7 linked regions of the Sus scrofa genome follow. The protein of the gene in region 5 interacts with the protein of the main gene of each other region in a pairwise test. Links are inferred from orthologs where the notes say so. Each region holds a gene or a part of one and is shown on either strand. Other genes may lie near its edges. The genes, in order: WT1, ASB7, AEBP2, SH2 domain-containing protein 4A-like, HMBOX1, FAM206A and MFAP1.

Evidence for each region.
Region 1: the proteins of HMBOX1 (region 5) and WT1 interact in binary tests that used the Homo sapiens proteins (3 or more experiments, as listed by UniProt). The link is inferred for Sus scrofa from reciprocal best matches to the Homo sapiens genes HMBOX1 and WT1.
Region 2: the proteins of HMBOX1 (region 5) and ASB7 interact in binary tests that used the Homo sapiens proteins (3 or more experiments, as listed by UniProt). The two-hybrid records come from large-scale screens. The link is inferred for Sus scrofa from reciprocal best matches to the Homo sapiens genes HMBOX1 and ASB7.
Region 3: the proteins of HMBOX1 (region 5) and AEBP2 interact in binary tests that used the Homo sapiens proteins (3 or more experiments, as listed by UniProt). The two-hybrid records come from large-scale screens. The link is inferred for Sus scrofa from reciprocal best matches to the Homo sapiens genes HMBOX1 and AEBP2.
Region 4: the proteins of HMBOX1 (region 5) and SH2 domain-containing protein 4A-like interact in binary tests that used the Homo sapiens proteins (3 or more experiments, as listed by UniProt). The two-hybrid records come from large-scale screens. The link is inferred for Sus scrofa from reciprocal best matches to the Homo sapiens genes HMBOX1 and SH2D4A.
Region 6: the proteins of HMBOX1 (region 5) and FAM206A interact in binary tests that used the Homo sapiens proteins (3 or more experiments, as listed by UniProt). The two-hybrid records come from large-scale screens. The link is inferred for Sus scrofa from reciprocal best matches to the Homo sapiens genes HMBOX1 and ABITRAM.
Region 7: the proteins of HMBOX1 (region 5) and MFAP1 interact in binary tests that used the Homo sapiens proteins (3 or more experiments, as listed by UniProt). The two-hybrid records come from large-scale screens. The link is inferred for Sus scrofa from reciprocal best matches to the Homo sapiens genes HMBOX1 and MFAP1.

What each region holds. Positions count from the first base shown.
Region 1 is NC_010444.4:28,452,967-28,456,466, reverse strand, and holds the end of WT1 (Wilms tumor protein homolog), read right to left. Parts: intron 1,885-3,500; coding exon 1,763-1,884; 3' UTR 460-1,762; downstream 1-459. UniProt on the Homo sapiens protein: Transcription factor that plays an important role in cellular development and cell survival. Recognizes and binds to the DNA sequence 5'-GCG(T/G)GGGCG-3'. Regulates the expression of numerous target genes, including EPO.
Region 2 is NC_010443.5:139,201,407-139,204,906, forward strand, and holds part of ASB7 (ankyrin repeat and SOCS box protein 7), read left to right. Parts: coding exon 1-181; intron 182-3,500. UniProt on the Homo sapiens protein: Probable substrate-recognition component of a SCF-like ECS (Elongin-Cullin-SOCS-box protein) E3 ubiquitin-protein ligase complex which mediates the ubiquitination and subsequent proteasomal degradation of target proteins.
Region 3 is NC_010447.5:53,632,488-53,635,987, forward strand, and holds part of AEBP2 (zinc finger protein AEBP2), read right to left. Parts: intron 761-3,500; coding exon 636-760; intron 1-635. UniProt on the Homo sapiens protein: Acts as an accessory subunit for the core Polycomb repressive complex 2 (PRC2), which mediates histone H3K27 (H3K27me3) trimethylation on chromatin leading to transcriptional repression of the affected target gene.
Region 4 is NW_018084867.1:67,350-71,615, forward strand, and holds the start of SH2 domain-containing protein 4A-like, read right to left. Parts: upstream 2,801-4,266; 5' UTR 2,678-2,800; intron 2,505-2,677; exon of another isoform or gene 2,450-2,504; intron 1-2,449. UniProt on the Homo sapiens protein: Inhibits estrogen-induced cell proliferation by competing with PLCG for binding to ESR1, blocking the effect of estrogen on PLCG and repressing estrogen-induced proliferation. May play a role in T-cell development and function.
Region 5 is NC_010456.5:12,881,107-12,884,606, forward strand, and holds part of HMBOX1 (homeobox-containing protein 1), read left to right. Parts: intron 1-589; coding exon 590-727; 3' UTR 728-3,500. UniProt on the Homo sapiens protein: Binds directly to 5'-TTAGGG-3' repeats in telomeric DNA. Associates with the telomerase complex at sites of active telomere processing and positively regulates telomere elongation.
Region 6 is NC_010443.5:249,898,494-249,902,397, forward strand, and holds the end of FAM206A (protein Simiate), read right to left. Parts: intron 2,006-3,904; coding exon 1,929-2,005; intron 1,665-1,928; coding exon 1,595-1,664; intron 1,502-1,594; coding exon 1,364-1,501; 3' UTR 501-1,363; downstream 1-500. UniProt on the Homo sapiens protein: Actin-binding protein that regulates actin polymerization, filopodia dynamics and increases the branching of proximal dendrites of developing neurons.
Region 7 is NC_010443.5:127,740,131-127,744,206, forward strand, and holds the start of MFAP1 (microfibrillar-associated protein 1), read left to right. Parts: upstream 1-1,276; 5' UTR 1,277-1,477; coding exon 1,478-1,556; intron 1,557-4,076. UniProt on the Homo sapiens protein: Involved in pre-mRNA splicing as a component of the spliceosome.

The sequences.
Region 1 (3,500 bases), on a different chromosome or scaffold from region 5:
TCAACCTGCTGAACTAATTTATAGCAACTACAGTTGCGAATTAGGTTGTGCTAGGTGTTCAGCTTATCCCCTTCTGACTGCAGTGCCTATCTGTGAACCTTTCCAAAAAGACCAGTTATTTCTTGTATTTCTCTGGTCTCCTCTGCTGACTTGGAACAGGAAGTGATGCAATGATAGCCAGATATAAATGACCATGGAAACAGAATTCCCCACCCCTGCCCTTATGCAATCACAGCATGAGAGCCATCGCTCTATGATGAGAGGTGAAAGCCGTGCTCTCTGGCTGCTTCTAGGACCAGTAATTGCCTCCTGAGGTTCAACGGAGAGAAACAAATAGTGGTCAGGACCTGGACAGACTTAACTAGTGGTCACTGATGTCACTGTCAGCATCTCACCTGCTTAGCAGAGCTCATCTGTCCTCAAGATTTAAACACAATACAGCTGATAGAATCTTACCACTTTCCTTTTGAATAGACTTTAATTGAGAGCGAAGTGAAAAATGCAGGTTACATTTTTAGTGTTATCATCAATATGTTGGAAGATCAACACCAAAACAGTGATGCATCTAACATTTATACATTTCCTAATTTTAGTTGTCAAGGAGCAAATCATTATCAGATAGATATATTTACACAATCATTTCAAGCAACAGTAAATAATAAACTCCCTCCCTTAAAAAACAAACAGAAAAACCCAAAAAACCACACATATACCCAACCACCTTTAAACAATGGATTTCCTCACACTAGCAAGTCTCATTTTTTTTTTTTCCACATATACTTGTAGACCCAAAGTTACTTAAGTTATTAGGAACAGTCTTATCAGTGGGAGATCCTGGACCAGCCCTTATTTCCTTTTAGAGTCACCTTAATTTTTAACAACTCGAAGCCCCATAACCAGCGTGGTCTGTACATTCTAAGGACACCCCCCAGATGATGAAAATGGATTCCACTTCCTTTGTGTGAGGAGATATGTGCATCTCTGAAGATGCCTATGATTACAACTCCGAAAAGTCAAGAAGAAACCCCCAAACAAAATCTCAGATCTTCAAGCACAGTTTCTTAAGAGCACTGTGCTCCTGTTAACACTGAGTTACACTGAATGGGAAGATTCCTTTAGAGATCTGTGCAGAGGTACTGGTTAGTGCTGATTCTTTTTTTCAGCTGCTTGAAATGCTGGCGTTTTCAAAGCTGCCTGGTGGCGCTACATCCTGCCTTCAGGTTAGCAGCCTGCCTAACCTCCGGAATGTCGGACGGGACTCACCCCCAGTGCCTTGCCCTCTGATTTATTTCTTGCTGTTGCTGTTAGTAAATGGAAACCATGACAAAGTTTACATTAGCAGACACATCCACATGCCCTGGCCTATAAATATTCTATGATGGAAAATGGTACAATGACTCCATTCCTTGTGAAAATGAGCGTAAAGGGAGACGGGGTGGGGGCGGGGGGATGGGGGAGGAACAGTATCAACCACGGCTCTTCTTACAGTGGAGGATCCAGACCACATGGCGACGGGCTTTTAACTAACTGGACACTGAGAGCCACTTCTCCAGGGCTCAGAGGTGGCCAAGCAGAGGGACCAACTCCTCCAGGCAAACCTGGTAGGATCCAGTGGTTCAGGCATCTTGTCTCGGACGCTGGATGAAGGTCGGCCGCCGTTTCCTTCTTTGAGAGGCGAGCCAGGAGGAATGTTAAAGTCAGCTTGCAAAGTCGTTCACACACCGTCCTGCCTGGACACGGAGCGGTGCCCGGGGTGGAGCCCTCAGAGCGCCAGCTGGAGTTTGCTCATGTTTCTCTGGTGCATGTTGTGATGACGGACTAATTCGTCTGACCGGGCAAACTTTTTCTGACAACTGGGCCACCGACAGCTGAAGGGCTTTTCACCTGTTGACACAATGGCCAGTCAGAGACACTTGCGGTGCAGAGATGGGGCACAAGTTATCAAAGGCCAGAGTTAAATCACCACAAGGCACCCACTCCAGATCCCCTCTAGCTCTTTCCTTAAGCTAACGGCTCGGGCTCGTCGCACGGGCAGTGTCTCTGGGGCCTTACGGATTAAAATATCACGAAAATTATAAAATTGCTCTTGAGTCAGACGATTTGGGGAATGGGAGCGCAGGAATGAGCGTAGTTATCTGAAATGTCTGGGCAAGTCATCTTTAATGGGGAGGGGGCAATATTTGGTTCAACGTCTGACACCAGACTGTAAATGTTTCCCCTTTGCTGTTTAAGGAGGGAACTGAGCTTCACTGGAAGGTGAGGGCCTTGGGCCCATCACCTTGGATACTGTTGGTAGATTGCCAGGTGGTGGCAGAGCTGCGACTGCAGCCTTAGTGTCTCTGTATAGGTCTTCTGGACGGGCTCGGCATCTTTAAATAAATCACTGGCATCAGCGCACATGGTATTTGCTTCTTTGCCTTAAAGGCTTACTCAGAGCATAATATCCATTATACAGAAGATTCCAGTTGAGGCATGGCTTTGAAATTTTTAACACGCTTGCCAAAAAATTGAGGCATCTTCATCTAAGGAGGCCTCAGAAGTTCCTTTCAAGCTTCATTTTGGATAAAGACAATTAGCATTTATTAAATGCCTAATAATGCCAAGCCTTGTACTAGGTATCGCACATACATATCTGGCCTTATTATGTATGTGTGTACACATACACGTACACACATCATTTTGTATTCTCCTTACAACAGCCTGTAAGGTGAGCGCTATTATCCCCATTCTACAGATGAGGCTGGACCACGAGTGAGGGCAGACGCAAGAGGACTTGCATCCAGGTCTGTCTGATTCCAAAGTCCACACACTTTGCTGCATCTCACCTCCTCTCAGCATAATGGACACACAGCCATGGCTTTATCCTAAGTAAAAATGTCACAGGAGCCAATGCCTGTGCCAGCAGAGGATCTTCTCGGGATATGGCTTGTCCCACACTTTGCCTTCTCTGAGAACCACCGGATGGGACAAGCACTGAGAAATGGCCCAGGGGAGGCACTGTCCCAGGGTCAGAACCAGGTGGTGGGTGGGGGGCGGGGAGAGCAATCAAATACAGGCCTCAGCAATCTGCCGGTGACATGCGTCACTTTGTACATATACAGAAAAGCACAGGGCGGGAGTGGGGTACAAGGGGAGATAACTCTTTCCCACCAAATTATGAGCTCAGGATTAAGGCAAAGAAGTGACACCAAAGGCACCTGAGCAGAGGAACAAGATGCCCAGCCCACCAGCTCTGGGGCACAGGTGCCTCGACTGTCTGTACATACAGCCTGTTGGGGCTGCACAGGGTTCAGGTCCTTGCATTTCCCTCACCTCCCACTCACTGTTGGTCTGCTCTTCCTCAGCTGGCTCCGGTGCCCCACTCTTCCCCCCAGCCACACTGTCCAAGGTCACCTCCTAAGGGGCAAATCCCCACCCTTCCTCCTGTTGGTCTCCATTCTCCTCAGTCTCTGGATGGACTTAAACTCTGCTGATCTTGGGTCTTTATTGTCTGTCTTCCC
Region 2 (3,500 bases), on a different chromosome or scaffold from region 5:
GAACTTCAGGAAGAGTTGCAGATCCAGGCTGCAGTGGCTGCCGGGGATGTCCACACAGTACGAAAGATGTTAGAACAAGGCTATTCCCCCAATGGCCGGGATGCTAATGGCTGGACCCTGCTTCATTTCTCTGCAGCAAGAGGAAAGGAAAGATGTGTTCGAGTATTTCTAGAACATGGAGGTGAGTGTACTAGGAGCAAAATCTTTTTTTCCCTAAGAAGAAACTTAAAATGAAATTCTGTTTAGTTTAAAATATAAGTGTGCATATTTATACAATTTTTAATACTTCTTATTCATACTCAATTTCTTATTCTCTCTCCTTTGTGAAGATTATCATCATGTTGAGTTTTGTTTGAAACCAAATTGTCTAAAAAACTTGTTAATATGCTTTTTTCCTCCTATAATTCTAGTTTATGTACAGCCAGATTTTCCCAGATTATTCAACTAAAAGCAGCCTTTCTTCAGGTTGTCCAATTGCTTCGTTTCAGAAGCAGAAGTGGCTGTGGTATTGGTAATTAGAGTGTTGCTCAAGTTTCCCCTGTTAGAATTGCTCAAGCAGACAGGGCACGTGCAGGCCCCTTTAAATATCGTGGCTGTAATGACACCCTATCTTTTGACTCTATCACTTAAAAAAAAAAATTTAGGTGCTTTTATTGCTGTTTAGAATACTTGGCTTTTCCAGAATTGTACATGGTTTCTAGGTATCCTATAAGATTGGTTATCAGAGGTCTAATTTTGTGTTAAATATATACAGTTTGAAAAATGCACTTCACATTTTATATTTTTGCCTTGAAAAACAATCCCCTCCCATAATTAATAATAACTAATCATTATCTTAAACTAATTTACTTTTTTCTCCAGTTGGGTATCCATTTAATTTATTTTCTTAAAGATGAACAAGTGTATTTTATCATTTGTACTCATATTATTCTTGTAAATTAAGGTGTAAAACATCCTGGTTGGGACTCAGGTTCCATTATGTACCATTCTAGGGCCTGGATTGCTTATTAACAATCATTTAGTTTCATTTCTAAAGTGTACTTTATCAAGACTAGTCCAGCTTAATTGCAAACTTAACTTGAAGTACAGAAAACATAGAAGTCCGCTAGTCCTGAGATCAGGAATCAGCACACATCTGAATGACCCTGAAATAGGAAGCATGCCCCGAAATAGTTGGCTGTGGACAGGACCTTGCCATTCGCTGACCTGCGCTCCTTTGTAGTGTGTGTAGTGAGGTGTGGGTCTTCCCTTGCTCACACCTCGGTTCACCTTGAAGCTTGAAAACCTCAGCCCTGAAGGTAAGGAGGGGGAAACCAAGAAGAATACCAGGAGAAAGACCTGAAAAAAACTCATAGGTGGGTGTCAGATCAGAATACTTAAAATTCCGGCAATGTTCAGTAAAATTAAGACCAAGATAAGAACTCATGTTTTTTAATTCCACCTCATCATGTTACTTTCTACTTGTGCCAGCCTTGCTTGTAAAACATTTTTTTTTAATGTTCCATTACTCTGGTAATACATGAACTTGTCTTCTTCAAATAATACACATTTTCAAATAAATTACAAATAATGCCCAAATCCCCTTTGGCCAGCTCCCAGTCCTTATCTGCCTACCCCTGCCCAGAAGTAACCCATGGGTGTGAGTTTGGCTTGGTCCTTATCTTTCTAGATCATTTCCTTATGTACCCATAGAAAATATGTCTTTCTGTGTGATATGCAGTTTTAGAATATAAATGAAATCATGCTGACCATATTATTCTGCAAGTGTTATTTTTTTGCTCAGCTATATAACTTAAGATTTTCTTAATATCAGTGGTTAGCAAACTTTTTCTGTAAAAAGCCAGATAGTTAAGTATCTTAGACTTTGCGAATCCTCCCTGTTTCTGTCATTAACTACTCTGCCCTTGTGGTATGAAGGCAGCCTTATTTAATGTGAACCAATGAGTGTGGCAGTGTGCTGATAAAACTTTATTCATAAAAACCAATGGCATGCCAGGTTTGGTCTCAGGGCCCCAGTTTGCTGAACCCTATATCTTCACCCTCTCCCCCTTTCTCTGTGTGTGTGTGTGTGTGTGTGTGTGTGTATGTGTGTGTATGTATGTGTAGATATTTTTAACATCTTTTATTGAGATAGAATTCACATACTTTACAGTTCATTTAAAGTGTCCTCTTTTTGCATATTCAGAGTTGAGCATGCATCGCCAGAACCAGTTTTGAAACCTTTTCGTTACATGAAAAAGAAACCTTGTCCCTTTTCAATAATAATACATATGGATTTACTGTCTTCTTTACAACTGCTGGATATAGGCTTTATTAGTATGGATGACTGTTTATTTAAACCATCCTTTGTATTTTTTGAGAGTGGCTGCAGTTTTCTCCACAGGAGATAGTGTGTTGAGAAGGTAATCCATGCACAAATGAGAGTGGTCAGAAACAGAGCATAAGGGGATGGTGCAGACTGTTCAGTGAGGGGAGCCGCTGCCCCTTGGATTCCAGCCTCAGCTCCTTCCTGGAGGCGGTCACTGTCCCTGCAGCCATGGTTTGTGCTAGAAGTGTGTGATTTTTTTCCATCCTTCTTCTAGCCTGCTTCCCTTTTGTCCGTGGTCTGCTCTACATCTGGATTTTCTTTTTTTTTCACAAAACACTAGCTAAGTGATAGTTCATGACTGTATCTCAAATTCCATTTTATGGGTGTGATTTATTTAAATTTATTCCCTGTCGTTGGACATTCTGATTTTTCATTTTCCTGCTTCTTCAAACAGAATTATAGAGAATCCTTGACTGATCTTTTTACAGATGAGAGTTTATCTCTTGGATAATTCCTAGGAGTTCAGTGATACAGTTACCCCTTCAAAGGGATGTTAATTTTGTTTGTTTGTTTTTGATGGACATTGACAAATTGTCCTTTAAAGAAGGCTGTTGATGGCTCTGTCCTTATGGGGTGGGAGGATGCCCAGGCGTGTATCACTAGGTGCTTTGCACTTCCTCTGGGTGATCTGCTTGCCTCTTTTTTTTTTTTTTTTTTTTTTTTTGCCCCCCCCCCCAATGATATATGAATAGCAAAGCATTGCAAGACTAAACTGCTTGGCTTGTCTTTTTCTTACCACTTGTAGGAGCTGTTTATATATGTTGCTACAGTCTTCCAGTTTGCAGCTTTTTCACATTCTTGCTGTGTTTGTTTGGGGGACAGAAGTCTGCGTTTTAATGTAGGTGAATTGTATTTTTCTTTTGGCTTATGGCTTGTGCTTTTTGTATCTGGTACATCATACCACAGGGTCATTATTTGCCTGTGTTTTCTTCTAAAAAGTCTTGTGGTATTTAGGACTTTATCCAGAATTGGTTGTGTGTAACATGAGGTGGGTGGCTATTTCATACATAAAGGTAACCTCAGCCATCCCTTCTTTCCTTATTGCTCTGTCATACCAACTCAGATACACAATATTTATATATGCATGGCTCCATCAGTTCTGTTGTCTGCTGGTATAATATTGTTGTAAATT
Region 3 (3,500 bases), on a different chromosome or scaffold from region 5:
AAGGATCCAGAGTTGCCGTGAGCTGTGGTGTGGGTCACAGCTGTGGTGTAGGTCGCAGACACAGTTCGGATCCTTCGCTGCTGTGGCTCTGGCACAGGCCAGGCGGCTACAGCTCCAAATGGACCTCTAGCCTGGGAACCTCCATATGCCACAAGAGCAGCCCAAGAAATGGCAAAAAAGACAAAAAAAATAAAATTAAATTAAAAAAATAGAATGGATAAACAACAAGGCTCTACTGTATAGCACAGGGAACTATATCCAATCTCCTGCGATTAACCATGATGGAAAAGAACATAAAAAAGAATGCATATATATGTATGATGGAGTCACTTTACAATACAGTAGAAATTGGCACATTATAAATCACCTATACTTTAATAAAAATTTTAATAATAAAATGACATAGATGATAAAGTAATAAAGAGGTCTAATGTTCTAATTTTACACATAATGAAACCAGAGGTAAGAAAAGATACCTAGTTTACTTCCAGTCAGTGTCTGATCTTCAGATGCCTAATAGTCCAAATGCCACCCCACTACTCCTAAATAGCTCAAATTAAAGGCTAAAAATTTCAACTTTATCATTAAAATGTTAAATTGTGGGAAATATTTGGGGAAAAAAATCAAATACTTACAGTACTATGAAAAACAACACTGTGTCCCTTCCCTAAACTTTCTATATGAGCTGAGAGGTTAAAGCATATGGCTCGATGTCTTATCGCATCCAGTGTTTGTGCATCGAAGAAATCATGTGGCCGTGCTAAAAGTCAATACAAAAGAGGTAAATGTTTAGAAAAATATGACAGTCTGCCAAACAGCCATATTAATAGTTCATTTTCCATAAAAATGTGTGATAAGTAAAAAAGACTTGCCTGTTGAACAAGTATCAATTTACTATTTTTTTTCAAATTTTAATATTCAATATTTTAATTTTAATTTTCAATATTTTATTATTTATTTATTTATTCATTTATTTTTTATCTTTTTAGGGTCTCACCCATGGCATATGGATGTTCCCAGGCTAGGGGTCCAATCGGCCCTATGCCTACACCACAGCCACAGCAACATCAGATCCAAGCTGTGGCTGCAACCTACACCACAGCTCACAGCAACACCAGATCCTTAACCCACTGAGTAAGGCCAGGGATTGAACCTGCATCTCATGGATGCTGGTCAGATTCATTTCTGCTGAGCTACGACGGGAACTCTGTTTTTTTTTCTTTTCTCTTCTTTTTCTTTTCATTTGGGCTGCCCCACAGGGTATGGAATTCCTGGGCCAGGAATCACAACCGAGCTGCAGTCAAGACCTAAGCCGCAGCTGCTGCAATGCCGGATCCTTAACCCACTGTGCCAGGCCAGGGACCAAACCTGCATCCCAGCACTCCAAAGACGCCGCTGAGCCAATCTGTTGCACCACTGCAGGAGCTCCTCAATCTAGTGTTTAAATCCAAGATTTTCTTTGCTTTCTAAACATATCATCTGGCTGACAAGATTAGGATGTACAAAAGCAGAACTCCCAGCTAATGAGTAAATGTGGGTTAATTTTGCCCCTTGGTATGTGAGGTTCTAACCACTGACTGCATGATTCTACATTTCAGCTACTACCTTTTTCACGTAATTTTACATTTTATTCCGGCATCTCTTTCTGAGTACCAGTCCTACATTTTCAACAATCTGATAAACATCTCCAAAGTGCACTACTGAGATCTCATTCACCTAGGCCAAACATACAAAATACACCTCAAGAATAATATACATTAATACATAATCAAAAATTGTCCAGAGAGTTCCCATCATGGCTCAGTGGTTACTTAACAAACCAACTAGTATCCAGGGTTCAATCCCTGGCCTTGCTCAGGGAATTAAGGATCTGGCGTTGTCGTTGAGCTGTGGTGTACATTACAGATGCGGCTCAGATCCTGACTGCTGTGGCTGTGACACAGGCTGGCAGCTACAGATTGGATTCAATCCCTAGCCTGGGAACCTCCATATGCCGTAGGTATAGACCTAAAAAAAGACCCAAAAATTTTTTTTTCCAAATTTGACAAGTGGTAATATTATTTTTTTTTTGACAAGCATTTTCTTGATTCTAAATAATCTTCTAACAACCTAAGAAAACCATAAATACACTCTTGAATGCCAATGAGTCTGCCAAAATTTTTCTAACTCCAAATTCCACCGTCAGCCATGACTTTGGGCAATGTGCTTTACTTATTAGCCTGTTTCCTTATTTGTGAAATGGAAATACAACAGCTATAGATTATGAGTGAGTAAAATAAATGCATATGAAAAATGCCCTAAGTCATAGTGTAGTTTATATTAATAAGGTTATGCCATTGTTTAAAATAAGAAATTCAGGGAATTCCTGTTGTGGCACAGCAGAAATGAATCCTACTAGTATCCAGGAGGATGAGAGTTCAATTCCTGGCCTCGATCCGTCCAGTGGGTCGGGAATCCCTCATTGCTGTGGCTCTGGTGTAGGCTGGGAGCTATAGTTTCAATTCAATCCCTAGCCTGGAACTTCCATATGTCACAGGTGTGGTCCTAAAAAGCAAAAAAATAAATAAAAATAAAAAATAAGAAATTCACAAACCAAGAATAAGCAACCTTTCATTGTGATCAGTAACAAAGTTATACACTGATGATTTGATAAAAACATTTTAATTTCTATTTTCATCCCACTAGTAGTATTATAAATTGTAGTTTTTATTCCTAATAAAGGAAAATAAATTTAGTATTTTATAATTATGGAGCTTTCTAATACATGTACTATTTTCAAGATCATCTGTAATTAAATATTATTGACAATAAAAGAAACAGCTTGATTTGCTGGTACAGCATATTCTGAGTTACATGTATGCTGACTTATCATACTATTCTGACTACTAATGTAGTGGAGTGGATTTACCTCCACTATTCATGGAGCTCTCAGTACATCTATACAAATATACCAGTTAGCACACTCAATGACACAACCTTGGTATTTTTTTTTCTCATTAGATCTTTCCTCAAAAGGAAATAAGCAAAACACCAGCTAGTAATAAATTAACAGAACCCACAAGACTAACAACGTAACAACAAGGGAGTATCAGTAAGGAAAAAAAAGAAAAAATGACATTTATGGGAGAGAAAAACTCATGAGAAACAATCCCCTTACTATTTGATCTGTTGCTAATGAGGAAAAAAAGGTGTACTTTCTCCATACTCCCAAATATGCTTTCTCCTGAAAAGGATAAGCACTCAGAGAACGTAACAATAACTCACCCCTCTATATCATTCAAATCTACTACTCCTCACTCAGAAAGAAGTCATCAATTGAATTAAATTAAGAATAATAAAAGAGACCCTCAAATTCAGATTGTATGCATTCAGACCTTAACCTCAAGTTATGTCCATATCAAGAATACTGAACTAGGGGGAGTTCCCAAAGTGGCTCAGCAGAAACAAATCTTAAGAATCCATGAGGACACAGATTCAATCCCTGGCCTTGCTCAGGTTAA
Region 4 (4,266 bases), on a different chromosome or scaffold from region 5:
TGGAGAAGGAGCTGCTCAGGGAAGCTGGAAACTTCTACTCTGTTCCCCATTTTGAATTGGGTGACAGCAACACCGACGGTGTGGGGAGAGCCTAAAAACTACAACTTGGCACGTGCCACCTTCACAGCGCCCCCTCCCTCCAGCACTGGTGACAAGCGCTGACTCCTGCTGGGCAGCCACCACCTTGAGCCCTGCACATGCAGTAACTTATGAACCTTCACCATAACCTTGGTGTTCAGTCCCTCCCTCTGCCCATTTCACAGAAGATGGAAAGGGGCGGCACTGGGCGGTTTGGCTCCACGTCACTGCAGGAGGTTTTCTCCGTGAGCCCAGAATCAGAACATCATCAGGATGAGGCCCCACGGGTGAAGTTTCAGAATGAAAACCAGCAAATTCTAGAGGCAGCGGAAACGGTGAACCGAAGGTACATGAGGCAGGGTCCTTCTTGGGAGGCAGAAGCCTCATCTCTGTAACTGCAGGTGGGCTTTGGGGACGCTGGGCATTGAAAAGCCCTCACCCCGGAAAGATGGCGGGAAGTGACGTCATGTTGGCGCAGGCGCAGATACTGATGCCCAGTCAGTCACTGAGTATTGAGCCTCCTCAGTCCCCCTCCTACCACCCCCAAGAGCAGCACTGGGGGCAGGGGGCAGAAGGATGGCAGGAAGGGACACAGTCAAGACCTCACAGCTGCGATTTTGTGCCGTTTTGCCTTTTGCAACAAATAGATTTTTGACGTTAAAGTGGATCTTGAAGGAAAGACACTGGCCTCCCCCTGTCCTCAGGGGAAACTTGGGAACATAGTTTACAACCTTTCTGTGGGGTGAGGCTGAATAATATGCATGCCACTCGGAGGCTGTGAACACCCACCAGCGTGAACGGAACTCCTTCCTCAAACACAGCACAGGAAGCTCTCGGCTCACAGCTCTGCCTCTCCTGAGCTGTGGATGTTTGCGTTGTCACTTCCCTTCCTCGGACTCAGTCTCCTTGCCACGAAATGAGCCTGAACTTGAATCTTTGTCATCTTAGGAATACACTACATTATAGTGCGGAGTTCCAGACGCAAGTGGGGCTGGGTCAGCGGAAACAGAAACAAGGAAATTAACCAACCAGGGGTTTCCCCTGGTTTCCCTGACAATCAGTGCTTGATACGATCAAACACAGGTAACTTCCGTATCCAATTCATTGAGTGCTACCCAGTTATTTAAGATCCAGTAGAAAGGAAAACTCAGCTAACTCTTTTCCTCCTGAGCAGCACTATTCTTAAAACACAGAAATGACAACAAGCAAAGAGTCCACATCTGCTATTTTTTTTCCAAAAATTCAAAGGGTCATGGCACCCATATTTCCCAGAGCCACTGTTTTATAAACAGTAATTATATTTTTTGGTATTTTTTATAGCTGCACCGGCGGCATTTGGAAGTTGCCAGGCTAGGGGTCTAATCAGAGCTGCATCTGCAATCCATGCTGCTGCAGCAGCAATGCAGGATCCTCACTTAACCACTGAGCAAGGCCAGGGATCCAACCCGTCTCCTGTGGACACTATGTCAGGTTCTTAACCACTGAGCCACAACAGGAACTCCAAGAATTGTATTTTGAATGACTCTGAGATCTTACTTTACCAGAGATACGCCTAAATCATAAAAATATTGTAATATGGACAGTGTACTTTAATGTTAAAAACATAGTTTGAATTCTAATTCTTTTTAAAAAGCCCTGTTTCCAGACTTTCCATGCTCTTACTCAACTTTACCTTGTTAATCTATCTGCAAAAGGGCTATTTTTGAGGATAAAACAAATTACCATGGGTGACAGCAGTTTGGTAAATTTGATAAATACATACCATTCTTCAGGTATTTAAAAATCGCTGTACGTGAATTTCTCCAGAAATTCCTCTCACATGCCAAATCTGTACCTGGGATAGGCCTTCACTCACTTATTCACTTAAAATAATGATTGTATCCCAAGTCATTTCTATTAAACAGGCAATCAAACAAAGCCTTTTAGGAGGTGAGCAGACTCCAAGTTTAGAAAGAGAGGAGGGGAGTTCACTTGCTCTTCCAGTGACTCTTGGGAGGGTAAGACAATTCTGAGCAAACCTGCACAGTTTTGCCCTCTTCGCTGCCCCTCATGCCACCTCTGGGGAGCCCGCGTGAACCAGAGGGCGGGAGAGAGCAGGGAAAGGTCACGGCCAGGCCACCTGCGGCCACAGTCTGGTCCGCCTTCCGGGGGGCGGCGCGCCCACCCTGGGCCCTGCGCGCCCACCCTGGGCCCCACCCCGCACCCTCAAAGGCAGAAAGCGCCCTCAGACCCGGCCTTTCCCTCCGCCCGCGACCCCCACGGGCCACTGCCGGCCTTCTGCACGCTTCCTCCCTGGCAGCCCCGCTCGCGCCCCTCGGGGGACGCGGCCGCCTGCAGCAGGAGCTTCCCGCGCGCCCCGCCGCCCGCGTACCCCTCACCACGACCGCCGGCCGGCCCTCAGCGCCTCTGCTCTCCCGCCGGTGCAGCGACACCGGACACCGACACCGGACACTCGCCCGCCCGCCCCGCCAGCACCTGACCCCCCGGCGGAGGAACGCGCCGCGCGCCAGCGGGACCAGAACCCACGGGGACATCCACCCCCGCCGCCCGCCCGCTCGCCCGCACTCACTGGCCGCATCTGGCCCCTCCCGGCCCGCACCTGCCTGCGCGGGGCTGGGCCGCCTGATCGGGTGCCGAGGGAGGAGAAGGAGCAGTCGGCTGCACAGACACGCGGCCGCGACATGAGCCAAGCGCGTCCCCAGCCCGCCCGTCCGTTCGAACCTGCGGCACCGGGGCTGGTCCCGCCGCGCGCGTCCTGCGGACGGTGGTGAGATCCCGGCCAGGCACCAGGCTTCCTGGCAGGTGGGGCCTGAGCCGGCGGCGGGCGGGCCTTTCTTCGCTCCGCGGGCTGAACTTCTGTTCTGGCGCCTCTGGAGCTCACTTTTTGTTGTTGTTGTTGTTGTTGTTGTTGACTTTGAGAAAATTACCAAACTCTTGGGCACTTGTCCGGAGGGGTGTGGCTTTGTAGGAGGACAGGACCAAAGAGGAGAACAGCTGGAAAGATGGAGACTGGAGACAGCGGGGACGGGGAGAGAAAATGAAAGAAATCCAAAGAGAAGGGCAGAAGAAAAGGAATGCTGAGAGCAGCGGCCAAGTCAGGTTGGGGTGGTTGCTGAAGGAGGAGGAGCTGGCCGAGGAGGGAAAAGGAAATCTGGGAGGAAAGTTCAGTAGAAGCAGCGTGGAAACATTGGGGGGGCATGTTCCTTCTAGAGGAAACGTTCAGAATGTGTGCGGCAAACAGCCTGCTTTGGTGACCCCATGGTGCAGGTGTCAGGGAGAGAGGTTATAGACTGCGATGTGGTCCTCTTCCACGCAGCCTGCCTGACTTGCTCCTTCAGAATGAAACCTTCCCATTTCTAGGCTTCCCGTACTACAGAAGTTAGAGCCTTGGGGTAGAGGTCAGTCCTCCTGCCTAGCTATTTAAAGGCTATTCTGGAGATCCTATCTGGGGAGAATTCCTGGTTCAGTTTGGTTCCACTGCTTATTAAATGAATGGCCCCTTAGGGTCTTTCTGGCTGGAGTGTCATTTGGCCCTGGCTCGCTGCTGTGGCCAGCTCTGAAGGAAGCCTAACACTTCTTGCATGGGCAGTGGAAGAACTGTAAAGTGAGCATTTAACACATCTGAGAACCATTTAATGAACACTTGCCAGGAGCCAGGCCAGTGGTGACACTGGGGGCCTGCAGGGAACAGATGGCCAGGGCCTGCATTGCCATCCTCCCTGCAGCACTGCCTGCTACAGCAGCTCTATGTTTTATACCTCTTTGAAATCATAAACATCAAGTAAGGACTAATCTACCCCAGGAAGGTTTGAATCCTACCCAACACCCAGACACACAATAGGTATGCAGGATGTGTTACAGTTCAAATGCTCCACATGGTAAAATTGCTCCAAAAAACATCAAGGGGCTCTGTTATGTAATTACGAGGCCCTGAATTATTTTCTGCCCTTTGGGCCATGCTCTCAGTGGAAACATTTCCGACTCTGGCATCTGCAATGCGTTGTGGAGGACTGTCGCCTTCACATGGCAGCAACACTCCTACAGAGAGTAGGTCTGGGCCACGGGCCCTTGGCAGGAGACAGGGGCTGAGCCTCTGCTTCCTGCTGGTCCTTGGTGAGTCAGAGACACATAGGATGGGTGTCACCAGCACGCCTATTCAGGAGTTCCGATGCCCACCCAGGGCAGAGT
Region 5 (3,500 bases):
CAGCTGCCTTACAGCAGGAGACTGCCACACGTATTCTCCCCTAGCCATTTCTGCCAGTCGCACTTTTGTCCTGATGTAATTGAGAGTTTGGGGGTTTTGTTTTTTTACAAAAATGCATTTTTATCCCTAAGATGTTGGTGTCCATAGTTTTGTCTCGTTTTCTCAGTTGAGTAGAGAGAGGACATGAATTCTAATAATCTTTTTGTAATACAAGTACCAATCTGGAATTTAATAGCTCACTAGTTTGGCCTTCAGTAACTAGTGCTGTATTTCAAACATAGACTGATCCAGGTTTGATCATCACCACCAGCAATCTTTCTGATAGAAGAAATAAAATCCTCAGCAGGAAAAAAACTATTTGAATGCTTTTTATTTATTGAATCATAAAAATGCCAACCGGAAGTCTCTGGACTTAAATCCATTCAGTGTCTACTTAAATACATTTCACCTCTCTTCTGTCATGCCCCATCTCCAACTCTGTTTCCTCCCATAAATGTTCTGCCTCCCCTTGCCCCAGCATGCCTTTCTATAAGCTAGAGAATTTTACCAATCCATTAATAACAGTTGTTTCTTATTTCTGCACATCTAGGATGACAGCACTAGCCATAGTGACCACCAGGACCCCATCTCATTAGCTGTGGAAATGGCAGCAGTCAACCACACTATCTTGGCATTGGCCCGACAAGGAGCCAACGAAATCAAGACAGAGGCTCTGGATGACGACTGATCAGAGAGGGTGAACACGAGAAGTTAACTTAGTTTAGACGTAGCACCTTAGCAGACTTTCCTCGGTCCTTAACATGTGTTCTTACAGTATAACTTGCAGTTTCTTGTATGTCAGTTAGCCGTTAGGGTCTTGTTCTGTGAAGATGGCATGGTGCCCTCAGCCTTTGCATATACTCTCAGTATTAATTCCAGTAAATAATAACCAACCAACCAACCAAACTTCCCTCTCCCAGCCCCTGAGGCTAGAAAAATCTTGCTGCTCTGTCTTAGCATTCCAGGAAAGTGCTTCCAGGTATTTAGATAGCCCTCAGTTTTCAAATATTAGGCTACGTGTAAAACCTTGGGTACCTTTAGATTCCTGTAACACTAGTTTGTACCCCTTTTCCTTCCCCAAGACTGGTAGGATGCAAGCTGAGGTAGTGTGGCCCAGGATTGACAGACACCATTTGGGGAGTATCCGCAGAGTAAAAGGAACACTAGAATCCCTCCTCAGCGTGGGAGTAATTGATTTCCAGCTGCAATAAGCCGTGCCTCATAATAGTCACACTGTGGCTAGATTATACTTCTTTGGGTGCTGTGCTAAGAATGTCAGTGGAAAAACTCGATCTCAGATTTTGGTTGATGTTAACATGCCTGACACAGACATCCTTTCCTCTCACAAGCTGTGTGACTTAGATAAAATACTGCCTTCTCCTTTGGGACCATGATTAAAACAAACAGAAAAATGACAAAAAAAAAAAAAAAGTCATTAAAAAAAAACAAAACAGAAAACCCAGCTTGAGAGCATTGGAAAAAAAAAAAAAAACAAAAAACCATGAGCTGAATGTCTAATGGATTTTAAGTCCAGTTCTCAGAACCACTATACAGTATGTGGCACAGCTACGTGCCTGCCTGGAAAGGTGCTGGAGGTCGTCACGGAAGCTGCTTTGCCTCCTGTCTGTGTCCCCTTTCCCTGCTACCAAAAAAAGCTCTTTCAAGGATGGAGCTAAGGTCATAAGTAAGTGAACGAACTTCCAGTCTTTGTATCCATTAACCGAAGCCCCCTCCACATGAGAGGTTATTAGAAGACTTTATAGTGGGATTATGCTGACTGACTATCACAAATGCAAATACTTACCTAAATAGCAGCAGAAAAAAGCAGGGGACGTTTGCCACTTATGTGGTGGGTCTGCGAGATACAACAGGATGTGACTGCTTTGGTGTTCTCTTTACTCTGTCCTTGGAGAGGTGTGAAAAGCTATATTGCTACAGGCAATTTATTTAATAATTGGAAGCCATATTGATAATGGATGTGGTAATATTTGTAAAGTTTAATCTACTTTAAGCAGCAGTAACTAATGGAATTTTTTTCCTTGATCACATATGTAGCACTTTTGTTACTTTTTAAAGATATTTATATTTGATAAATCTTTTTTTCATTTTGAGAATTCAAAATACCAAACAGTGAACTTGGGTTATAAAGTCACCCTGTGATCACCTTGTCATCTAGTAGCAAAATGATGAACTATTCATGCATCAAAGAAAATTACATCTGCTGGCCTTGGATGAAAATGATCTCTTGGCATCTCGATTAAAGGACGTGCTGTCACTGTGGGTAAGAGGAAACAGCCTTCAGTGTGGCAGCGTAGGGTGCGTCTGAAAGAGGCACAACTGCTCTATATTTCCTGCCTCGCTCCATCTCTCCTTCCTATGTACAGAGAAGCCTTGTTTAAAGGGGAATATGGGGCTGGCTATTAAGCAGGGCTTTGTCTGTTTATCCATTACCTGAAAATGATTTCTGAGATTGAAGGAGGGTGCCATTTCCTTACCTCTTCACCCTTCTTCCCCCACCAGATATTTTCAACTTAAAACCATTGAGAGAGAGAGAGAGAGAGAATGACTGACCTTCTTTGTTTTTTTTCCTTCCTCATTAGTGAGATACTGAATATCCGCCAGCTTCTCGCTGGTCTCACTCCTCCACGTAAGGCATATGCTGATGAGCTCGTCTCCGCGTCTGTTAATCCTGCTTACGTCAGTGTAAGGAAGCCTTTGAGAGGCATGAAAATGCCACCTTATATGGGTCTGTGACTTTATATAGAGTTATAGGCAGGACCTGGGCCTGCTCCTGTCCATGGATTTCAGGGGGAAAATGTACATATTTTTTTCCAGCTTTCAAGAATTGAAGTAAAATGGAGCAGTCTTTTCTGTTTTACTATATTACTTGAACCAACAAATTCAAGAGTAGCATTCGTTATTCTCAGGAATGATCCCCCCACTCATTTTCTTGCTTGGTGCGTTTGACTTTTTATTTCAATTAGGAGATTGTTATCTTTCTTTCCTTTTATATTATTTAGAGAAAATATACCATATCTTTCCATTGTGGTGGAATTTTGTCTGCTTATTCTCAGTTGAATCAGAAAGAAAAGGAGAGGGAAAAATACACTGTCTGACAAGCCACATCCATGATTTATTGTAAGGAGATTATTATAATTGATAGCTTCTTTATGATGGGATGGCTAGTATCATTTGTTCTTGCTGGTCCTTGTAAAGAAGCAGACTCTTAACTGTTAAGGCAGCTGCGGTTTCTAAAGAAATACAGTGATTGCCAGAGAAGAGCTAAAAGGTTTCATTGTTTCCAGACCTTTAAGGAAGGAAAGGAAGCTTCAGAGAATAAGAGAGAGTGAGTGTCCATAAGGGGAGTACCAGGTCCTACCTGGAAATCTGGGAACGTGAAAGGGCAGGTCTGCCGGTGCAGGTAGCATTGCCTTGGGTTCAGTAGGAACCGCAGGAAGGAG
Region 6 (3,904 bases), on a different chromosome or scaffold from region 5:
CTATCTTTAATATCTTTGTTTTATGACATCTTTGGGAATCAACTGTGCTACATGAAATGGGAATTTGCTGCTTTGTGCTTACATTTTTTAGCTCATAGCACCATCAAAGTGGATGTTTAAATAAAGAGTTGCTACCTGTATTATGTCTGGTGAATATACTTAGGGGACAGCCATGCTGGCACGTTAGTTTAAAGAAGTTTTCTTGTGAGTCAAAAATAATTTTAAAATTTTATTTCCAAAATCATTTATATACCAGAAGTAAGAATATTCTCTTATTTAAGTGCAAGTTGGGGTGGGAGGGGGATAACTTATGACTTCAACAGTATAAGATGATGGAAACCAAAAGAATTTACACATCAAGGATAATTGTTTTATTTAAAAACAGATTATTTATATGTATGCATGGGTTGCAGCCCTTAAGGAAAAATAACAATCTTAAAAGTCCTTTTATTTGAAATTCAATATAAGTAAATATATAATCTTAAACCATAAATTCATAGTTTTTTTTTTAAACAATGACATGAAAGCTTTTGTTCTGTTCAAAGGCATCTGTGTCTTTGAACTACAGTAACTGCTCAGTAACTTCTTAGCTGGTTACCCTGTAACTCGAGTGAGAGACTGAGTGTCCACAAATGCACACATTACTTCACGCTGCAGTGTGAAACTTCCATATGTCAGCAAAGCCCTTTGCTCTTTACAAAGCCTTTTCCCGTGTCCCTCATTCAGAAGTCACAGTGCCACACTGCTGGACAGGTGAAGGCCAACCCACAAGGAACAGGGACGGCACACTCCACACCCTGCTGCTTCCCAGCAACCTAAGGGGGAGGAAGTTGGGGCAAAAGGGGTGGCACCAGATGCCTTTAGTGGTGTCACACTGAAGCAGACTGGGTAAGAAAGGCCAGCTGTTGATTTTTAACTTCAAAGCGATGGAAAACTGAGGCCAAAACATTAACCATGCCATAACATTTACACAGAATTAGGTCAAAACGTAGTATTTACTAAGAATGGGTTACAGGATGATGGGTAAATTATGCTAACTTCGATGTCTTTCAGATTTTCCTCAAAGTGCTTTGTTTGTTGGTTTTTAATGGGAAAAACATCTCTCACTTGCCAGTTGTTAGAGAAAAACAAAAGAAGAGCACAGGGAGCACCTGGGCAGGCAGATCTGGGAGAGTGAAGACAAACAGATTCAAGGCCTGTTATGGGAGACGAAGAGGGAAGACTAGGTCGAGTGTTGAGATCAGGCCTCCCTGCGGATGGCTGGGTGGGAAGCAGGCTTCAGCTACGCTGCTGCTTCCTTAGGGCACTGACTGGCTGGCAGGCGAGGAGAGAAGGCCTGTTGCTTTTTACTGCACCTCAGTCCTCACGCTGTAGCTGATGTGGCATTGGCGCGACTGGCCAAGACTTCTTCATATTGTTGTTGCGTCAGTAGCCCTTCTGTTACGCTTTTACTTTCTTCAAATTTGGGCAACACAACTGCAATGTAGCCTTCGGTGGACGGCTGGAGGGGAAACAGAATATTTAATACTGTCAAATGACAGGGAATCAGACAGAAAATATGTGGCTGGGATCAGACTGCTCCAGTCCCCTTTACCTTCTCTTGAAGAATAGATGGCTTATGGAGAATGTCTTCATTCACTTCCATCAACCGTCCTCTGACACAGCTATTTAAAACAAAATTGTTTTGAAGAAAAATATTACCTCATTTGTTCCTCCAAAATTGTGGTTAAAAAGTAACTGACGTAGGGAGTGCCCTTGTGGTGCAGCAGGTTAAGGATCAGGCGTTGTCACTTCAGGGGCTAGGGTTGCTATTGTGGGGCAGGTCACAACTGCAGTACAGGTTTGACCCCTGGCCTGGGAACTTCCACACGCCATGGGTGTGGCCAAAAACAAAAAAAATTAAATACTAAAAGATAAAATTAACTCACCTAGATATTGTGTATTCTTCTCCATCTGAGCAGTAAATCTTACACAGAGGTGCAAGTTCTGTTAGAAACTGTGCCCCCTGATAATAAAAGGGAGGAAACAATGAACTGATGTACATACTCACTTTTCTTTGAGCAGTAGCTTTCAGTGTTAGAATGGGATATGTTCCTGGAAGTACTACTTTAAATAAAAATGACTTCAGCACAGAAAAATCACTCATTTGTTAAAATATTTATATATTAAACGCTTGCTATGGGTGAGGCAACATCCTACGCTCTAGGGGAAAAAGCAGACTAAGACAGGTGATAACAGGTAATTTACATATTGAGAATGTATTCTATCTTAACTTATACTTTATATTTAACTGTAAATGAGAAAGCTGCATGTAGCCAAGTGTAAAGATTTCAAAAGGGTAGAGAAATCTTATCAATAATCAATAATATAAAATTAAACATTATCGAGAAAGGATAGCAATATTGTACAGTTAGTTTCATTAAGATTCTTACCTTATTTTTATGTTAGAACTTAATAGATAAAGGAATTTCTTTACTAGGCTGAATTACTAAGACTTTCTGAAGAAGGGATTTTTAAAAATTTAATAAAATGCACTTTGAGGAAAATTTGGAAAATATAGAAAAGTTTTGTGTAGCAGAAAAGAGTAAGTTACCCGTTATAACCCACTAGTAGATAGTATATCTTGGTATCTGTCAAAATGAATGTTTGAATGTTATGGCATGATTATAGTTTCATGTACTGCATTAAATGGGTCTACCTAGGGAGGTTCTGACTTATCTACAAGGAGGCTTAGGGGAAAATGAGGCAAGCATGTCTCATGTGTTGCTCTTTTTTCGCTTTTTAGGGCCTCATCTGAAGCATATGGAAGTTGCCAGTCTAGGGGTGGGCGCGGAGCTGTAGCTGTTGGCCCACGCCACAGGCACATCTGCAACCTACACGGTAGCTTGTGGCAATGCTGGATCCTTAACCCAGTGAGCAAGGCCAGGGATTGAAACTGAGTCCTCAAGGATACTAGTTGGGTTCATAGCCCCCTGAGCCACAATGGGGAATCTGTTGCTCTTTTTTCCCCCCAGGAATTTTTACTGCAGTGAACATTTGAGATCAAGGTGCTATTCTTCACAGCCTTTTTACCTGACAGCATTCAGGTGTTACCATGTGCACTTCACTCCTCTGCATGTGGCTACTGGTTTCAAAATACTAGTCTGTATGACTCCTCACTGTCTGGAGGAAGGACTGGGGTTTTGTCCCAGAGGGTCTGTCTATCACTGGGTCTCTGTCAAAACAAATGTTTTAACCCCCTTCTGTCACCTCCCTTGGGAGAATAAGAGATTGGCAGTGCTGAGATCCAATCAAAGCTTTTCTACAGTGGGTTCACCTGCAGACCCCTCTCTGCTCCTCAGTAGCAGCAACAGTGTTACTGTCTCGGACAAAGATTTATCACAGGGACATCCTAAGCACTAATTGTTTTACTTGTAATATGCAGACTTTTAAGAAAGGCCCATGGTTTTTAAAGTCCTTTTGCTTCCTGAGTGAGGAAAAATCACTATAAATTAGGTTATTAGGGGCCTTCATGCCTATAAAGAGGAATATACGCAAGGGTCTTCTGGAACGGGAGGGTAAATGGCGGAAACTCTCAGTATGAACTCAGTAAATGAAGGACCTGATCATCCACTGAAACGTTCCTGTCCAGTGGGATTGTCAGGACACTTAAAATGATACTGAATTATCCTTGATGTGATACCTTCTCTTCTAATAAACTGTCCATCTTGCCTAGAGCTGGAGAGGAGAGAGGTAATGTTTTGTAAAATTGAACATTGTGTGGAAGTAGAGGGTATTGCTAGATGTGTATTAATTTGGCAATGATTTAGGAATGGAAAATGTTATGAAGCAAATATTGTATATTTTCTCGTAGTGATTTTCTTCACTACCTCAGCACTTATTTTTTCTTTTAAATTCACATGTG
Region 7 (4,076 bases), on a different chromosome or scaffold from region 5:
ATGACCTTACAAAGCCCCAACACTGGGAGAAAGTTCTCAATAGCTTCTGTATCACAAAAGCACCAAATGTAAGACTTTAGGGCACTGCATTTAAGAGTTACAGTCATATCAAACTTTTTTTTCTATTCTCTAGATGTCCGTGAGCAGAAACAACTAACTGCCTTCCCATCAGATTTACTCCTTCTGAATAGCACGGTTTTGAAGCTGATAAAATTATAATACAAATTTCTATTTGCTCTATTTTTACAGTCCTTTTCTTTCCAGCTCAAAATTGCTCCTTTGATGGCTTACTTGAGTCATCCATTGTTCCTTAATGGAGATTTGCTCAATTGTATTTCTCCCAGCCTAAGCCCAATTTTAGAACACAGATGAAATAATTTTAGAACGAATCCTTCAAAGCCCTTCAGGAACTTTCACACTCCTCAAATGAAAAATTACTGATAAAATCAAACTTTTCATAGTGTCTAATATATATACCATGCAATTTCTGTACTTCAAGACTTTGCTCATGTGTCCCTTCCCTCCCCACCACAGCAGTTATAAAATCCTTTCTACACTGAATGTGTTTTGACTTTCAATTAGCCTATGTTTTTTACACAGCCCAGCAAGTAAATTGGGATTGTTTCTGATATTACTGTAAAAGCCCTTGAAGACTTCCTAAATAAAATTCAAGTATTTGGAAGACATAAGCCTTTTAACAATGCTCCATACTCCTTAGAGCTAAACGAGGTAAATACAGCAAGTGCTTAATAATTACTTATGGACTTTCATATACAACCATTCCAGCCAAGAATATGTTTTAATAGGCAGTCTCTAGAAAGGAAAGAACTGAAACGCCTAAGAGTGTTTGGATTTCAGGCATTGTTCTAAGCCGTTTAGGGGATTTTTTTTTCCTGCCACTGGTCTAAATTAGCACCACTTGCCCTGACGTAACCCAAAAATATCGCACTACAAACCGCTCGGTCTCATCAAGTGAGAAAATCAGGTGCTATTAGCAGGATTTCTATTTCGATTTAACTCTAATTCTTAGCTTTCAACAATCTGAACACACTGTCCTTCTCTAACTCCTCGGTTTCTTCTTCATCACTTTGCCATTTTCCTCGGCTTCAAACGAACCTAATCAGCGAAACCTTTAATTCGGGTCTTCCGCGGACCTCAGAGTCTTAACCGCAAAGTCCAGAGAGCCATTTCCCGCCAGAAGTGGCGTCCAAATACCGCGAGACTAAGGTCGACAGGGAGTTTATGAGCATGCGCAGTAACAGACTCCACGGACTTTGGCTCCCTGACGTCCTCCACAATCCCACAATCCTCTAGTCGTACATTTCCTGTTTTTCTAGCTCAGCCGTAAGTGGTGTTTCTATCAGTACGCAGCAGTGTCCAGTGGCCTCTGGTGCGGAGGATTTTCTGTTCGTTGACGTTGTACCTGTTCACAGTTTGGAATCAGTCAAGTTTTGGAATCACCGCCGCTGCCATCAAAATGTCGGTCCCAAGCGCACTCATGAAACAACCGCCTATTCAGTCTACGGCTGGGGCCGTCCCGGTTCGCAATGAGAAAGGTACTGTGTTGAGCTGTTTTCCAGTCGGATCTTACTTGTTTCCCTAGCATATTCCAAACCGACCCCGGGCCCACCACCTCAGCCCCAGCGATCCTTAAGACCTTGCCCCCTATTTCTTTCGCCATCAAACTCGCATCCAATCGCGTTGCCTAGAAGGGAAAAAAACACCCACACTATTTCCACCTCATCTTGTTCCTAGAGCCTGTCGGTTCACTCCTACAGCAAGCATCCTCTTCCCTTGGCCTCCACCAATAAACTAGAGTAATAAATAAAGTGAACGCTTGCTGTTTGGAAGGCGTTGTGCGGGATACAATCCCAGTTTTGTTATCCATAATCTGTTTATGCTTTTATAACTCTTACTGTAATTATGTGTCCATCTCTCTCTACTGCATCATAAACTCATAGATTCCTCAAGGCAGGAACCCTCTCTTATTAAACTTTTTAATCCCTTTCAACCAACGCAGTGACTGTATTTGTTAAATTTAATACAGAGACAGTACCCCTAACCTTAAGGAACTCATAGTAGACGTGATTCATGCAAAAAGAGACCTATTCTAAGCAAGTGTGCAGTCTTTCGCACCCCTAATACTGTTACATAGGTGATGTAAACCAAGCGCTTTGAATAATCTCTTCAGACTGGGGTACTCAAGTTGATCTTTAAAGGATAGGTTTGATTCCAGTGAGTGCAGATGGATGAAGCAACACTGTACCTGTTTAGGGAGTCAGACTGAAAAGTCAAGAGTTTTTTCAGTAAGATATTTGGAAAATAATATCACTTCTTTCCTGTTTTTTAAATATAAGGTACTTATCCTTGTGTAACCTGCCTTTTTTTTTTTTTTTCCTTAAACTCTGTGGTTTTTTGATAAGTGCCTTTGGATACATGGAGATCTTATTAATTTAACTGCTTATGAGGTCTATTATATGGAGTTTGTTCCCTGCTGAGGGACAATTAGCTGTTTTGTTACTTTTTTTCCTCTTACACACAGCGCTGCAGTTATCATTCTTTAGTGCACTGCCTTAAGAATTTTAGGGTAGACTCCTAGAAGTTCTTCATCAATTAACTACCTATTGCCATTTGCTCTCCACAGTGGATTGTAAGAGCATTGAAAGTTTTTATTTCCTGTTATATTACCCACAATCTTGGTTGTATGAGATTTTTTTTATTTGCCCGATCTAATGGGTGTGAAACAATAGCACGTTATTTTAATTTGCAATTTCCTGAGTCCAGGATTACTAGGCATCTTGTTTGTGTGTTTATCATCTCTCTAGGTGTTGTCTTCTATGAATTATCTCTTTCAATTACCCATTTTCTATTTAGTTTGTTCTGACACATCCCAAATCTTTTTTTTTTTTTTTTTTTTTTTTTTTTTTTTTTGTCTTTTTGCCTTTTCTAGGGCCACTCCTGTGGCACATGGAGGTTCCCAGCTAGGGGTCCAATAGGAGCTGTAGCCGCCGGCCTATGCCACAGCCACTGCAACTAGGGATCTGAGCCGCGTCTGCGACCTACACCACAGCTCACGGCAATGCCGGATCCTTAACCTACTGAGCAAGGCCAGGGATCGAACCTGAAACCTCATGGTTCCGAGTCAGATTCGTTAGCCACTGTGCCACAATGGGAACTCCCCCAAACTTTAATATCTATTTCCCAGAGTTTTTTGGCTTGTCTTTTAATTATGGAGTCTTCTGTCACACAGGTGTTTTTAGTTTTATTGTTGACAGATTTAACAATTTTGTCTTTTATGTTTTGTGGTGTTTAGTATACTGTTTAAGAAATCCTTGGAGTTTCCTGGTGGCTCAGTAGGTTAAGGATCCAGTATTATCTTGGCTGTGGCTCTGATCCCAGCTGTGGCCCAGTTTCAGTCCCTGGCCCAGGAACGTCCCAATTTAAAAAAAAAAAAAAAAAAAAAAAAAAGTCTTTTGAGTTCCCCTTCCCAATTTAAAAAAAAAAAAAAAAGTCTTTTGAGTAACTTACCCAACCAGAATCCATGAGGACTCGGGTTTGATCCCTGACCCCGCTCAGTGGGTTAAGGATCTGTCATTGCTGTGAGCTGTGGTGTTGATCCCAGATGCAGCTCAGATCCCGTGTTGCTGTGACTGTGGTGTAGCCAGCAGCTGCAGCTCTGATTCAACCCCTGGCCTGGAAACCTCCACATTTCCTTGAGTGCCGCCCTAAAAAGACCAAAAAAAAAAAAAGATTTTTGGTTATCTAAGTGTTTGTATATTCTGAATAGGAAGGATTACACAGTTGTCTAAGACAGACTATAAGTTAAGGAGCTTACAGTCCAGCAGGGATGTAAATGTTTAAGATGTGTTTTTCGTGCATGAGTATTTAGCTTATCTGGAATTGTGTGTGTGTGTGGCATCCATTATAGATCTAATTTTAGTATTTACCTCAGGGCTAGCCAGTTGCCCCAACTACTCCATTGTTTTGCCGTACCCACTGCAAGTTATGCTTATTTGCCATATGTATAACTTCTTTGGTGAGGTATCTGTTAAGGTCATTTTTTTGGTTGGTTGGTT